Canis lupus familiaris: one gene and its partner. The protein of the gene in region 1 purifies or fractionates together with the protein of each later gene. This does not show direct contact. Links are inferred from orthologs where the notes say so. Each region holds a gene or a part of one and is shown on either strand. Other genes may lie near its edges.

The links. The genes of interacting proteins can lie anywhere in the genome.
Region 2: the proteins of KIF5B (region 1) and KLC2 fractionate together in Homo sapiens (co-fractionation; 7 studies listed by BioGRID and IntAct, with this or other methods). This does not show direct contact. The link is inferred for Canis lupus familiaris from reciprocal best matches to the Homo sapiens genes KIF5B and KLC2.

What each region holds. Positions count from the first base shown.
Region 1 is NC_049223.1:12,714,088-12,718,716, reverse strand, and holds part of KIF5B (kinesin-1 heavy chain), read right to left. Parts: intron 4,411-4,629; coding exon 4,194-4,410; intron 3,666-4,193; coding exon 3,535-3,665; 3' UTR 3,515-3,534; intron 1-3,514. UniProt on the Homo sapiens protein: Microtubule-dependent motor required for normal distribution of mitochondria and lysosomes. Can induce formation of neurite-like membrane protrusions in non-neuronal cells in a ZFYVE27-dependent manner.
Region 2 is NC_049239.1:51,545,169-51,549,821, forward strand, and holds the start of KLC2 (kinesin light chain 2), read right to left. Parts: upstream 3,148-4,653; 5' UTR 3,031-3,147; intron 3,025-3,030; exon of another isoform or gene 2,879-3,024; intron 2,186-2,878; 5' UTR 2,139-2,185; coding exon 1,911-2,138; intron 1-1,910. UniProt on the Homo sapiens protein: Kinesin is a microtubule-associated force-producing protein that plays a role in organelle transport. The light chain functions in coupling of cargo to the heavy chain or in the modulation of its ATPase activity.

The DNA.
Region 1 (4,629 bases):
GTATAATGCTTAAAACGTCAGTCCTTTGTTTTTATTCTCCCCAAGAGAGTTATGAGTGAGCCTATGTAGGAATTACATTTTTCTTTTTAAGATTTTATTCATTTATGAGACCCAGAGAGAGAGAGAGAGAGAGAGAGAGAGAGGCAGAGACACAGGCAGAGGGAGAAGCAGGCTCCCTGAAGGGAGCCCGACATGGGACTCGATCCCGAGTCTCCAGGATCACGGCCTGAGCCAAAGGCAGATGCTCAACTGCTCAGCCACCCAGGCATCCCTACATTTTGTTTAAAAAAAAAAAAAAAAAAGACGGTTAATAAAATGAAAGTCAACAGTCAGTGACATTCTTAAGCCAAAGACCATGATCTAGCAATGTTATATTCCTGATAGCTGTAAAAAACAAAAGTCGGGGTGGGGGAGGGGGAGAGGGATAGTATAAATAAGAGGTACACGTAGTAAGAAAAGTAACAGTGAAATAAGCAATTCCAGCTCTTGTTACCCAGGGGCAACCTTGTATTAAACTATTTACCTATGTGTTTAGGAAAACTCAACTTGTCAAGGTATTATGCAAGCCAGAAGACCAGCCATATAAAACTGGGTTCTAAAAGAATCAATATTATTCATACATTTTTATCTTCCCAGAAACAAACCCAGTGTTTTTGAAATGTTTTGCTTGATAATTAAAAAATAATTTAAAAGTTTCTCTACATATTATTTAATTTTCCAACAACTTATAACTAATGAGGCTTATATACTCCTCAATCATGGTTTAAGACTGACTGATGTAAGGCTTTAAAAACTAAAAACCACAATCCTTTGGATCAGCAATGAAACAAACCTGTAATTAATTATACTTTTATAGTTAATTACTTCAAGTCTTAAAAACCTAGTCTGGCTAGGTTAGCTATCTCCCTCATGTGCTGAACAGCTGTCACTACACTGGGATCAGTGAAATGCTACAACTTAGTTATATTTAACAAAAGGCCCTGGTCTATCCTCTCTGCAAATGAGATAGGAGTTCAAAGGTTACACATGAATCCCCACCTCCCTTTTTTTAGATTTTGAGAGAGAGAGAGAGAAAGAGCGAGCGCACACACAAGTAAAGTGGAGGGAGTAGGAGAGGGAGAGAAAGAATTTCAATCTGACTCTGTACTGAGCATGAAGCCTAATGTGGGGCTTGATCTCATGACGCTGAGATCATGACAATGAGCTGAAATCAAGAATTGGATGCTTAGCCAAATGAGCCATCCAGGTGCCCCCACACATGAATTCTAATGTGAGGTGAGGACAATACCCCAAAAGAATAAACTTTTATCTGTACCTATATTTATGCTTTAAAAATCCCTTTGCTCACTTACACTTCCAGAAAAGACAGCTTGCCTCTACTGAACACCTGCTCTGTCCTAGGTAACAACATTTTAGCTTGTATAATTCTCAAGAGTAACTTTTATTTCACAAAGGGGCTCAACAAGCCATTACTTCAAATGGGGAAAAACAGAGGCCATCTCTAATTGGCAGGAAAACTATCTACTATATGTAACACAAGATTAAACACCTATTACTTTGACAGTCTTGTTAAAAATGATATGCTCCATCTAATAAATGCTTTCCTTATATGGGAAACAGAGGAACAAGGCTACCACACAACATACATCCAGAGGAAGCACATGCTCAAGATAACTGGCCTAGTCTCTTCAGTAAGTCAATGTCATTAAAAAGGGGAATTTTTCTAAATTAAAAGAGAACTAGGAGATCTAACAGAATGTAAACAGTGGTTGCGGATTATACGCTGGTTTTAGGTAAACCAGCTGTTAAGGACTGGGAGGGAAAAATTAGAGAAATCTGAGTATGTATTAAGATAATACTAATTATCTAATTAGATAAAATATTATTATAATATCAGGTACAATACTGTTATTGTGGTTATGGAAAAAAAGTTGTTTTATAGAAATTATTAGTTTTAGACCATAAATACATAATTTGTTTTCATGCTTAATTTAAAAGGAGTCAAAACAAGAAAGAAATTAAATATTAAAAAAGTAACTTGCTGGAGGTAGAAAAGTTAGGATTCAAACTTAGATGGAACTCCAGTGTCTATATTCTTTTCACAATGTCACTCTCTTTTAAAATCCTATGCTGTGTGGACAAAAAATTTCATTAGATTGTTGGGAAATGTGATTCCTTCAGAATATTGCTTAATTCTCTACTCAAACTTAGAGTCAATCTTACTCAATATGTCAAAGTAAAAAAAGTCAGTTTATTTGCATCTTGCTTTAGTATTTGTCTGAAACAGTTAACCATCATAATTATTTTAGTATTTTTAGTATCCAAAGCACAGTATCTGGGACTTTTCTAAACCACAAAAACCAGAGTTTCTGCTCTATGATGAAATACTAGGCAGCTTATTAATTAACTAGTTGTGCTGCTTAAGAAAATGTTCAGAACACACAAGCAGGCTAGGGACGTCTGGGTGGCTCAGTGGTTGAGTGTCTGCCTTTTTGGTTTAAAGACTGATCCTGGAAAAAAAAAAAAAAAAAAAAAAAGACTGATCCTGGGATCTGAGATCAAGTTCTGCATTGGGCTCCTTGTGAGGAGCCTGTTTCTCCCTCTGCCTATGTCTCTGCCTCTTTCTCTGTCTCTCATGAATAAATAAATCTTTAAGAAAATAAATAAAAATTAAAAAGCAGGCTACAAAGAAACATATGTACTAAAATAGTATATTATTAGAGTATTCAATAATTTAAGATTAATTTAAAAATCATAATATGCAAAGAAAGCACCTGAAAGATATACATAATATATTGGGTGGTATTTCTGGATGATATATATCTCATACTTTGTGGTAAGTTTTTTGAAAAAAAATTCAAGTTCTTATTAATAAATCAAAGAGATACTTATTTTGGACCATTAAAACAGAAGCTTAAGAACTATCAATCAATATTAATTGCTGGCAATGATACAATAATAATGGACAGTATCCTTGTCTAAGAGGCAATCTGTCCTAATCTTGCTGGAGAGCAGTGTATTAACATGTATCAAGAGCCTTAGAAATGTTCTGCTTTCTTGTAATTTCACTTCTGGGAATCTAAAAATAACCTAAAAGGTGAGGGGACACAAAGATATTTCACACTTGAAATTTTCCAAACTGAAATTTCCATATATGAAATTTGAAATGTGAGACATTTTATATTAAGTAGAGAAAAAATTGACATAAATTAATCCTATGTCTAATAAAAGGGAATAATTATCCATGGTGTATATCTATTAGATTAACTATAAGAGCTCTGAAAAATAATCCAGTAGGTTAGTTTACAAATGTTAACACAAATTTGAAAATAGAGTATGATCTGAACTATGAAAAAAGACCAAAAGAAATCATGCCAAGTTATTTTTATAATCACATACATTAAAAAAGAACCCAGTTAATATGAGAATCCAAAAAAAAAGTAGTATTTAACAACCAATGGCTGAACATTTCCATGTAGAACTATGATTCAAAAGCCAGATATAAACTACGAACCTGTGGGTAACGTGTAAAGATTATACTTGTTTGCCTCCTCCACCTCGAACTGCTACTGGCTGGCTATTCTGGACAAATGCGCCTCCTCCACGAATTGCACTTGGATGAGTTGGAGAAGCTGCTGGATGTTGCCCGGGACGAATAGGTTTAGCTAACATGAAGAACAAAAAGTGACTTTAGGATAAATCTTAACACATGATTGTAGTGATGTTTTAGGAGACGTCTCTTCTCGATTCACAAGAATTCCCAAATGTGGTTTTCCTTTTGCCTTTCTGTTACTAAGTCTTCTCTTTTCTGTTGTATCTTTTTCTCCAGGACCTATATAATCCCTATTCTCTTAAAAACCTTATTCCTGTATGAATGATTTATTCTGAAGCATGTCATATTACTCCTGGCAACTTATTTTCTTGCAAGTCAGTCTTTAAGAATACTCATCTCTATAGTTTCACCTCTTCTGATCACTCTTGCATGCTTGTCTAGTTCTTACTTATCTTCTTGTCCTGTAAATGTGGCTATTCCTCATTTTGCTTGTTATTCGCAACAATGCCACTCTTTGGTAAGTTAGAAATAAAGACAAATACCAACTTGACAACACATAATCACCAATTAGATTGTTTTCAAGTAAGTAAAAACATTCAAACCAAGCAAAGTTTAAATGGTTTTAAGGTATTCTACTAACCAATTTGTGCAGAATGTCCTCTTCTGGCCATATTCTTTGACCTGACTGCTTCCTTTATACGATCTACTTCTTGCTGATAGCGTTTGCGATCACGAGATGCATTTTCTTTGGCTTCCTTCAGTGCTGACTCCAAAGCTTTCACTCTTTCAGCAGTAGCTCTAAGTCGCTTTTCCAACTTAGGAAGTTCACAGCGAAGATCTGCATTATCACGTACCAACTAAAGGTACATTAAGACAATAAGGATTTTAGCTTTAACAGGATGATTTGAAAAATATCAACATTTCATAATTTCTCTTTAGTAAAAAAGTAAAACTACATTTAATATTAACATTTACCATTTAGCGAATTTAACTTAGGCAGCAACATGCAAAGAGTACATACATCCATATATGTTTCTCACAAAGATATAATTTCCCTCAATTTTTGGGGGGTCTAG
Region 2 (4,653 bases), on another chromosome or scaffold:
TCCATCCATGTCATCCTCTTGCCCATCTGTGTTGGTGCCTCTGCACACTAGGAGGGGAACCCCTGTGTTTATCTCTGTACCTGGCAGCCAACTAGCCCAGGACGGAATGACCAGCACATTGCCCTCCAGAGGGCCAGGCTGTCTGGGACCCTACACTTTCTAGTTGATTAGCAAATGTGTAAGTGACAGGTGTTTTCACAACCACTAGCTTTTTAAAAAACTCCCTAAACAGCCTGGAAATATACACAGCAGATGGCATGATCCCTATTTTAAAGACAAGGAAACCAAGATGATACCAACTGTCCAGGATTCATGGAGCCAGGCAGCATCTCAGCCAAGATTTGAAGGGGCCAAGGCTCTCCCACGGAGAGTGTGTACTCCTTATACACCCCAGTGCCTTCTGAATATCTCCATCTGCACACCATCCTCCCAGCCCCAACGTAGAGGTCCAAAACAGAACCCCTGATCATCCAGGCTCTGTTGTCCCCTTCATTTGTTTAAACCACACATCTGGGAGTTACTTTGCCCTCCTCTCTCCCCCCTACTCCATCTCCAGGTCCTGCTGGACCCACCTCCAGACATATCTGGAACTGGGCCCCTTCTCTCCTCCCTCCTGGCCACTTCTGTAGTCCAAGCTACCATTTCCCATTTGAATTCCAGCAGTGACTTGCTAACCACCTGCTACCTCCTTCCACCCTTGACTCTGGTTCATTCTCCACACCTCAGCCAAAGGGAGTACTTATTATTTTTTAAGACTTAAAACAAAAAGTAATCTCTATACCCAACATGGGGCTCGAACAACTCTGAGATCAAGAATCACATGTTCTACTGCGTCATTCACACGCCCCCAGACAGAGCTTTTAAAATCTAAGGCTTGGGCAGCCCAGGTGGCTCAGTGGTTTAGCGCCGCCTTCAGCCCAGGACCTAATGCTGGAGACCCAGGATCGAGTCCCACATCAGGCTCCCTTCATGGAGCCTGCTTCTCCCTTTGCCCATGTCTCTGCCTCTCACTCTGTGTCTGTCTGTCATGAATAAATAAATAAAATCTTTAAAAAAATAAAACCTAAGGCTTACTGTGTTTCTTAACTACTGAAACCCTTCAAAGGCCTCCTGCTTTTCTGAGAATACAAGCCAAACTACTAAGGTACAGTATGATTTGGCCCCTGCCTTTCCAAAGGCCTCTTCTGTCCCTCTCCTTCCCCCAGGAAGCTCTAGTTAGGTCTTCTCTCATTTCTCCTACCACAACAAGATCTTTCCTATCTCAGGACCTTTGCACATATAACCTCTTGCTTCTCTCCCTTTTCTGGAGGCCCGTTCATTCCCTCCTTCAGGTCTTGGTTTAAATGTCACTTCCTCAGAATTCTTGCCTGACCAATAAATAAGACCTCCTGCTATAAGCTATCACAAGATCTTATTCTTCTCTTTGTACAATTTACCACAACATGTAACAAACATATGTGTGTTTTTTACTCTCTCCCCAGTGGACCAGGGCAGAGATCTTGACTCTCTTGTTGGACCTGTGTCTCTAGCACATAACAGACGGTCTGGCAGATAGTAGGCACTTGATAACTTACCTGTGAAGGAATGAATAAGAGAATGAATGGGGTGGGGAGGAGCGATTCTTAAGGATTTCCTTTTTGTTCTCCTATGCCATTCAGTCTCTGCTACCCATCAGAGAAGCCAGGAACAGGGTTCTGTGTGGGGGCTAAAGGATGATCAGGCTCTCTTGAGGCAAGGCACTCAGCTGGGGTTTCCAAAGCTCATTCATTTTTCATCAGATCTGGGGTCTTACCATGGGCTCCAGAGGCCGCAGGTTCCCTGCTCAGATTCTGTTCCTACTCTGCCTGGATTCCTCTGGAAGGCTCCATCCCTCCCGTTACCTCCCACCTCAGCATCCCAGACCAGCCTACCTGGGCCTCCCCCAGACCCAGCTCGATGGCTTCCAGGGAGCGACGCAGGAGGACACATCGCTCCTGTGAGCCGGGCTCCGCCTCACCAGCTTCATGAGCTACCAAGGGAGCGAGAAGGGCACGATGCTCCCCGCGCAGGGTCTCCAGGCCTTGGATGACGGCCTTGGTGCCCAGCACGATCTCATCCTGGCTCAGCTTCTCCTCCCGCGGAAGCACCATCGTAGCCATGGCGTGCCGCCTGTGAGGGCGAGGGGGCGGGCAGGCGGGTGCCGGGCCTGGGGCCACACCGCCGTCCGCCCCGGATTAGGTAAACACCTCGGGTCCCCGGACGCCTGGGTCCCCAGGGTGCCTGGGTCCCCAAGACGGCAACCCGTGCCGTGCCGGCGCTCGGCCTGCAGGGGGCGCGCCCAGCTCGCCTCGGCCGGGGAGACGCAATGCGGTGAGGCCGGTGAGGCTGGACTCGAATTGGGCCCAGACCACCCGCTCAGGCCGGCTTAGGCGGCAGCCTCGGGACTTCCCCGGGGACTCCCTTAGTCAGGACGGGGAGCGCTGGAGGGCGGTCCTACGGGGATCATGGAGGCTCACTCGCATTGGGGAGACCCCAGCCCTTCTAGGAGATCCAGCCCCAAGCCCTCGGGCAGCCCCTTCCCCAACAACTAGGCCGAGTCACAGAGCCCCTCCTCTAGGGAAGGCCGACCATTTGGAGACCCTCCCCCTAGAGAAGCCTCGAAATCTCGGCTTCTTCATCCTCCCCCAACCAGGCCGCGCCCACAATGACCCCTCCCCATAGGTCGACGCGACGCCCCGCGGACCCCTCCCCTAAAAAGGCCGAGCTCCCGCCCCCGGCCACCCAGGACCGCGCCCCCTCCCAGCAGGCCGGCCTTGTTCTCCCGCACGCTGCGCCCATGATGACCGTCCCCTAGGCCGACCCAGGGGCCCCTCTCCTGGCCGTATCGGCCCGCGCGGACCTACGCCTCCCAGAGGCTCCGGCCCGGGTCCTGCTCAGGTTCCGGCTCCCGCCCCGCTTCACCCGGACCCGCAGCCGAAAGCCGGTCCCGCCGCCTCCATCCCGCCGGCCTTCCCAGAAGTCCTCGCGCCGCCTTAAAGGTGAAGCCTCTACCTCGGCGGCGGCGTCGGAGGGGGCAAAACACGCTCTTCTCTTCCCTCAGGCTGCCTTAAAGGAGCTCGCAGGCCGGGCCCGCTTCGGGCTAGGAGGGGGCGGGGCCATCGCGGGGGCGGGGCACAGAGGGGCGGGTAGTGGGCTGCCTGGAGGCTTCCGTTCCAAGCCTCCACCACCCACGTCCCTGCGGCCTCGGATTCCTCGACTGTGCACCGCCCCGAGGCCTCAGGGGTGTGGAGAGGCTCGGGAGATCCTAACCCTGAGTGCACCCAGTGCTGCGGCCAGAGGACAGGGGGAGAAACCCAGGCGCAGGAAGAGGCCTGGCCTCTTCCGAGTCCAGAGCGAGACTTTTGACACTTACTGATTGATGTTTAACGAGTCCAGAGCGAGACTTTTGACACTTACTGATGTTTAACGAGGTAGTTACCACTTCCTGAGCATTTACTGTGTGTCGGGCGCTTTGATGCTTTAAGTGCATCTATTCATTTAATGCCCACAAAGACCCAATAAAGCGAGCACTGCTATTATCCGCCTCTCGAATATCTGACCCCAGGCTCATTTGTCTCTAGGGACTGGTTATGCCCCTCAACCAACTTTCAGAACTGTCTAAGCCCCTGTGGGATTCGCAGTATCTTAATGCTGCTTCCTGGGAGAAATGCTTCTTGACCCTAACGGAGAAAAAGTGGGCATAGGGCAGCTGGGCATCTGCCGAAACCGAACCCCGTGCCCCTGTGGGTCAACACCACAAGTGCTATTTGTTGACCAGATACCCTAGGCAGTGACGTAATTCCAAGCTCAGAATAAACGTCACCTCCTCAGAAAGCCTTCTTTGATCCCTGACCTCCCATAAAGTCCCCTCCTGCACCTGTTTCTCTCTTTAGCGCTTATCCCTTCTAATATTTTTCTTGTTGGTTTTCGGTCTCCTCCCTAAAGTGCAGGCCAAGACCTGCCTGCCTCGTTGACTCCCACAGTAGCCCCTGGCCAGCCACAAAGAAGCACTCAGTAAATGTTGGTTTTAAAAAAGTGTGGGAGAGTGCACTTACTGGTGTTGCCAAATCCCCTCCAAGCCCCGGTTTTGGTCTGACGCTCTGCAGCCCTGGGTTAGTGGCTATTCTGGCACTGCCCCCACTGCTTCTAGGTCGATGTCATTAGTGACAACAGGATAATCACCTGAGGGACAAAATCTGACAAGGCCTGGCACTGGTACCTATGTGTTACTCATGAATCCAGGTGGGTTCAGACTCAGAGTCCACCAGGTTAAGTGTCCTGGTGGATGCAAGAATCTCCTTGGTATCGTCTCTGACCGAGACATGGTCCTACATCCCTAGGTCAAGTATATCCTATGGTAAGCTCACTACTTCTGCTGTGAGACTGATCTAAAGGTTAAGACGTTTTCCCTTAGCTCAAAAAGTACCTTCCTACAGTGCTCACGGACACCAAACTGAAGTTCTATCTTCAGGAAGAACAGTTTCTTTTTTTTTTCCAATGGAGATATTTGGAGACCTCCACGATCCCCCTACCCCGTCTTCTCCTTGCCTGGACTGACAAACCCTATCCCATGACCCACTCCTGCTCCAGTTTCCTCCAGTTTCTCTTTTTGGGGTGTATTTTAGGTGTTAATCC